2 linked regions of the Xenopus tropicalis genome follow. The protein of the gene in region 2 purifies or fractionates together with the protein of the main gene of each other region. This does not show direct contact. Links are inferred from orthologs where the notes say so. Each region holds a gene or a part of one and is shown on either strand. Other genes may lie near its edges.

Region 1 (3,931 bases), on a different chromosome or scaffold from region 2:
TTTTTTTTTTTCAGAAAAGATGGCAACCCTATACCAGCTCCTTGTCCTTCCTGCTCTGCATCCACCACTAACTCTTCCAGATGAAATAATGATAATGGGACATGTCGGGAGGTGGGGCCTTTAACCCTCCTGGGGTACATAAGGCATTGAATACTTTAGGGCTAACAGGGAACAATGAACCAAGTAATTAAGCACAACCGAAAATACATTTATAGTCTATCAGGCAATTATGTTCTAAAGGTTCAGCGCTGTCCCACTTGTTGACAAATTCTAAGCACCCTGGGAGCCAGCAACCAGGGATCAGAATATGGGGCGCCTAAAACAGTTTAACCTATTCCCTGCCACTCCTAAGCTGACTTTCATCTGTTTTTTTCTGTCTGTGCAGTGCATACAGGCAACTGAGAAGTTGGCAGGTTGGGTTGGGGGGGGGGGGTGGTATACCAAAAACCACACTAAAAGAGTGACTTATATTAATGTTTAACCCTATCCTTCCTGCCTTTCTCTTGGCACACAGCAAGCTCTGTAGCAAAAATAGCCTTCAATGCTGATCTGGGAGAGTAAAACAGGGCCTTTAAGCCAAATATTTACACAGGTGTTGCATGGATTGTCTCCAAAGGGGCAGGGACCTTCCACCCCAACACCTTGCATCAATTAATAATGGGATCACATTTCAATGAATCAATATAATGCCCACATATTCTGCAGCCCCACACCTATGTTTTCCTGTAGGATCCCAGCTGACACAATATAAACCCATATAATTCATGGTTAGTTCACAGCTCATTGTGACTGCACCAGTTTCTGCGCATGAAAATGTATTGCTGATACACGATTCAGCATGGGTACTGTCTGTCCAGTTTTAAAGGGGTATGGTGCCAACTCTAATACCATAACAGTGCATTTTTTGTGGTCAGGCACGACTATAATAACTAGGGCCATATCTGGTGTATGGTGGTGACCCTAAGGTAACAGTACAACTTTAGATACTTCAGTTGTTGCAGAACTGAAACCACGAGCAGGGCTACACCATATAAGCTGCTGCTGTTTGTCAACACTGGGGCACTGAACCTTGCCCTGCCCAAAAGCATTTGCTCCAGCACTGAAGGAGTTATTTATTATACCAAAAAAAAACCTACAAAACCCCATGCAGGCTTTCAGTGTAAACATTCCCCAATCCTGTTTAACCCTCCACAATCCACCACTAAGCAGTTTATACAGAGAAAAGAATACGGATATACACATGTATGTCTTATTTTAGATTATAAGCTCTGATCATTGTACGTTGTTTGATGTGTACACTCTCCTACTGTACAGCCCTAGGAAATATGATAGGGCTTAATAAATATGCATTAACAATAATGATGGGCAGATTTTAATGAAACCTGAGCCTCCCCAAACCAACACCAACGCATTTACTACAAGAAATAGGATTGAGATATTATACACAAGGTTGGCACCACATTCGCCATGTATTTTTGGGGCATTATATATGGAGCTGGCATTGTATTTATCCTGCCATGTGTTGTGGGGGAAATAAAACTGCCACTGTATCCTGTCATGTGTTCTGGGGTAATATATATGGAAATGGCACTGTATTTATCCTGTCATGTGTTCTGGGGTAATATATATGGGAACTGGCACTGTATTTATCCTGCCATGTGTTCTACCATGTAGAAAGGCTTATGTGACACTATGCTGTTTCTCTGCCTGCACAGAAACGCAGGCAGAGACACAGCCTAGTGTGACATTAGCCATAATGTCTTTAATTAGCTTGCCCAAACACCAAAGTCACCCTCCACCTAAGATAATATTAAAACTCATAGCTTTACAACAAGAAACTCTGAAATATGGAAATCATATTTCCCCCATTGAGCCATATTTAAGCATTTTCTCATTTTCTTCTGATTTTACAAGCAATACACATATAAACCTATACCTGTATATACTTATGCCCATATATAACTGTACGTGTACCTGTACTACAGCGAATCCCTAACATTAATACTGTTACAAATGTATCACTAACAGCCAGTCTGAGCCCCAGGCAGCAATGCTACAGCACTATATCCCTTTGCGAGCTCCAAACACGCCTTTCCGCCCAGGGCTCCTTCTACTCTCCCACACCCGAGTCCCCCCAGCAGAACCTACAGACCGAAACTCACCCAGAAGATGAAGTTGAAGGCAAACAGAAGGTATTTGATGCACTTGATCCCCCCTTTGACGGGCATGGTGGCACTTTCCGGCTGGCGAACTTTGATGAAGTTGTTGGATCGGTGGAAGAGAGAGAGCTGCGCAGGGTGTGTAAATCCTGATTTACTCGGAGTGTCCTACACCCACGCCCACACCTCTTGGCTAATAACGCTATATTTTGCGCCCCCTACAGGACACTGCTGGCATGGCTTCTACCCCACCTTTCCCTTCTCCTGCTCTTTCGCCTTTTGACTGATCAGGTTTGGATAATTACTAGTTGATTTCTATAACGAAAATTACAGTGTTGGACAAATAGCCAGATATTTAATGTTTTTTAATAAAGTACCCCACTTTCTTTTACTTTTTTTTAAAGAGATATATACAAGTGACATTGCACCAAGAGAGTCGTGTTAAAACCCCTTTAAACTTTATGATCAAGACATTATTATACTATTATTATTATACATGTATTGTGACAGTCAGTGCTTCACCCCTATACCAGGCCCCTTAGCAGTTTAATATCTGCTTACTCTATTACAGCCCCCCTCCCCAATATAGCATTATATATCATGATTAATAAATTATTATTATTATATAATTATATATAAATATATTATATATATTATATATTATATAATTATATATAAATTATAATGATTAATAAATATTGACTGCATTATCATATCATATAGCCAAAAGGCCGATGCAGATACTGTAATGCATAAAAAGGCCGCTGCATGGCCCAAGAGTAAGATTCGCTCATCTTTCCCTCAATATGCCAGCTTTAGGAGGGTGATATCGTGCTAATGTTATCACTTTGCCCTAGGGCCAAACAATTGAATTACAATTAAGGGGATACAAAAGTCTGGGCGAGGACTGCATCAATGAGCGGATGTGTTCCACAATCCGACAGAAAAATTAAGCCTGCCTGATCAGCATCTGCCCGATTGTTGACCAAATATAGGTTGGGGAGGCCTGTTGGGGGTCCCCATACATGGGCGGGTAAGCTGCTAAATCAGTTTAAAGGGCCCTAATTGCCCATGTATGGTGACCCCCAACTGCACTATTTGACTGATATCTGGCCCTAGGGCCAAACAATCGGATTACTCCTATATTGCCCACGTTAGGTGGGCATATTCGTGGAAAGATCCATTCCATCTCTTATGGATCTATGTTGTACCTCCAAACTCCATGGGTGTGAAGGGGTTTTTGGGTTTTGCCAACCTTTTGTCAATTTGTGATGCACTGAGTATTATATAGTACAGTATAATATTTTTGTTCTTACTTTTTCAAGCGATATACCTGATCTGAGGGGGTGTCAAACTATCATCTATGACCTAACTGTAACAAGTTTTTTTCAACTTCAAAAAGTTAATTCAGTTTTGAGGGCTGCTACCTGTTGGGGCAGTCAGAATACCCAGTCAGTATCACGGAGCAGGGACGGGGTGGTAGGGGGGCAGCCTGACTGCAGGTGGTCGGCACACATCACCTTTCTTTCAAAGGCAATGATAAGTATTTGTCAAAAATAAAAATGTTTCACAAAGCATTTTCCTTACATGGTTTTTATTTATCCAACGTTTCAGTTCTTCACATGAACTTTCTTCAGGGAGAAAGTTCCTGTGAGGAACTGAAACGTCGGATATATAAAAACCATGTAAGGAAAATGTTTTGTGAAACTTTTTTATTTTTGACAAATACTTATCAAAGTCCTGTGAGTGCTAGCCTTTATTGCATTTGTATT
Region 2 (3,122 bases):
TATAAAGGAGTAATAAATAAGTTATACCAGCTCAGTCATATGCCCTTCATCTTACAGATGAGAAAACAAAATATTTCCCTTAATTTAGGTAATATTATATTTGGTGTTTGCAGGTTTCAGAAACTTTGGTTAAAAGAAGGAGAAGACAAATTGATGAGACACCAGATGTTCGGACGTTGGCGGCTGTCAGAAGAGAAAGCTCTGAAGCTGTACTGGTAAGAAACCTTTTGGCCAGTCAGAGCTCGCTCCATGGCTAAGTGAGCAAGAGGCTCCAGGTTTAGGGTCCATTATTAGGGTTCATTATTTCTGATTGGGCAGAACATTAAAGAGCCTATTTAAAAGATTAATCCATTTGACAACTGTAATAAATATAGAAATGAAGATTGGGCCAATTGGCGCAATGATTAACCCCCCCCTCCCCTCAAAATTTTTAATATTGATGAATATGCCACTTAAGGTGATGTACCGTGGCCCGCCTGATATCCAAGTACTATCGGGCAAAATCAGGATTTGGCAGGTCTGAAAATTTCATCTGACAAATGTGAAGAGGAGGCGTGTCTTTTAACCTCCCCGATCTTCCAACTGTTTGTGTACCGACTGATCGCAACAACAGAGAGTCGACCATATCCTTCATGCATTCTCCGTCAGAGAGCATACTAGATCGGCCTATGCATGGCCACCTGTAGTATTCTGCCAAAGTGATTCCAAAAAGACCCAGACTGAATCCTGTATTCAAACCATTCTTATATTCAGTATCATACACATCAAGGTGACTCTTTGCCTTTTTCTAGAAATGTTCCGGAGGAGGAGCAACGTGTGTGCATTTTTCCTGTCCACTGAATGACATGCAGTCAAGAGCAACCATCAGTATGCGGGGAAGAGTTTGGAACAGCACCTTTCTAGAGGTGAAAAAGATTCTCAATCCAGTTACTATCCAACCTGCTGCTCTAGCAATAGTTTAAACTACTGGAATCTGAATGTTTCCCCTCTTTTAGAATTTGATGAGTCCAGTCTCCTCTGTTATTCTTTTACCCTCAAGAGGAGTTTGTTTGGAATGCTTGAGAGCACAGGCAGCACTGATACAATTATTTATAAGTGTTTTAATGTGCATCATTACTGTTTTTGTTTGTTACAATCTGGTCAGCTTAATATAGTACTTAAGAAATACAAACCTTGACTGATGTAAGCTGTTGGTGTAGGGTTTTTATGCCATTTTATAATTCACTTTTCAGTTTAGCTTAATTTCTGCTAACCTTACCTTCATCATCCCAACTTCCCCCTCAGGATTACAGAAATGTAGATCGAGTGTGGGTGATGGGAGGAGCTGAGCTGTACCTGAAAACTGATGTACCCACCATTAACATGAAGAGCCAGTTTGTGACGGTATGTAGAGAAATACAGACAAAAAAAATCTGTCAATTGTATGTTCAGCATCAGTGGCTAAGGACAAAACAAGAAGGGAAATGGGTGTATCTGGTTTGATAACTCTGATCGGTTGTTTGTATTTGTATGTTATTACTTTTGGCCATAATCCTTGGGATGGCTTTATATTGCATCCAGTGTTATTAGTAGGACATGTCCTTCTGAAATGGTTCTAAGTCTTGTAGAACATGCCATCTACAATTTCTGAGAGAGATGTTTGGGTTCCAGGTTGGGTTTCCATTAATTAGGAAATATATATATAAGCCAACTGTATTTGTTCTGCCTCCACTACTTTATATCTGCATCTGCATTGGGTCCTAAATTATCTACCTCTCCCATCCCAAAATGTTCTAATTTTTTTTTTATTCTTCTTCCCAGTTCTCTGTTTCCATAGACTCAGAACTTGAGGAGCCCCCACCAGCTGAGCTGCCACTCTGGTTGATCATTGTCTCGGTAGTTTCTGGAATTGTGCTCCTTGGTATAATTATCTTGCTTCTATGGAAGGTAAGTACCCAAGCCAAGCATCCTCCATCTAACTTTCGCGTCTCACCACCAGAAGCAGATATGTCCTGCATTTTAAAATGCACCTTTGACCTCACTATCTTTTTCTTGTAAGCTTTGATGAGGTGTTTGGTGAGAAATGTTGCATCTTTGCCTTTGATCCAGCTTATGATCAGGCAGCTATACTGTTGATTTTCCAATCTCTTACACTGTTTCAGATAGTAGTGTCTTGCAGTGCAAGCCCAGTATAACACAGTAGCCAGAAACTGACCATAGGCAGGACTACCTTGTTTGCTCAGTCGATTGAGGTTGAATTAATTTTCTCTTCCTTGATCTAACAATATCTCCTCTGAAAACTGAAGCTTTCACCTCTGCTAACCACAATCTCTGGCGTTTGGGTTCAACTTCTCCTGCTTTCGGATCACTTCTTTTTACTGCAGCAGCTACGTAATATAACTTAACAGAGCTCTAACTTCCAGTCTAATTTTTCTAAAATCTTCTTTGGGCTCTGGTTGGCCCCTGACCAATATCGTGCTTTTTAGTGTGGATTCTTCCGGAGGGCCAACACCCGCGCCATGTATGAGGTCAGAGGTCAAAAAGCTGAAATGAAGGTGCAGCCATCGGAGACAGAACGCTTAACCCAGGACAACTGAGTTCAACCTCTGACCCCTGACCCTCCCCCTCGGGTAACCAGGCTATGAGTGTCAACTCACAACTTTCCAGGACCCTTACTGAGTCACTTCTAGTTTTCTATCTAACTTTTTTACTAAGGCTGTTTACAGGCAAGCCAACTTGTTCAGCTCAAAACAAGTGTTCAGCAAATGGAAGTGTGGTACCAGAACTGAAAATATGGGTAACCAATACGCTTCAGCGATGTGTGTACAGAAGTATCATCCAACCTAGAACCCACTATTCTGTACAGTGAGGTGACCCATAGGCCTTTAGGCCATTTAATAAGATTGGTGCAGTCTGGCCATCCATTTGCGTGTCCATATTTTACTGATCTGGCTGATTGGTTGGCTTGCCATGTGTGCAGCCAGCAGCTGAAATAATTTTGTGTGTTTTTCTATATTCATACAGTTGTGCTCAGTCTAATATAAAGTGTTACTCTTGTCTGTTATTTCTACAGTTTTTATTACAAGTACTGTTTGTGCTAAATTCCTTTTTTTTCCAGTGTAACCTCCTTATATGTACTGTCT

Evidence for each region.
Region 1: the proteins of itga3 (region 2) and cd9 purify together in Homo sapiens (affinity purification with western blotting; 3 studies listed by BioGRID and IntAct, with this or other methods). This does not show direct contact. The link is inferred for Xenopus tropicalis from reciprocal best matches to the Homo sapiens genes ITGA3 and CD9.

Annotation. Positions count from the first base shown.
Region 1 is NC_030679.2:18,570,488-18,574,418, forward strand, and holds the start of cd9 (CD9 antigen), read right to left. Parts: upstream 2,277-3,931; 5' UTR 2,229-2,276; coding exon 2,163-2,228; intron 1-2,162. UniProt on the Homo sapiens protein: Integral membrane protein associated with integrins, which regulates different processes, such as sperm-egg fusion, platelet activation and aggregation, and cell adhesion.
Region 2 is NC_030686.2:14,721,405-14,724,526, forward strand, and holds part of itga3 (integrin alpha-3), read left to right. Parts: intron 1-113; coding exon 114-215; intron 216-791; coding exon 792-905; intron 906-1,284; coding exon 1,285-1,383; intron 1,384-1,800; coding exon 1,801-1,926; intron 1,927-2,465; coding exon 2,466-2,576; 3' UTR 2,577-2,609; intron 2,610-3,122.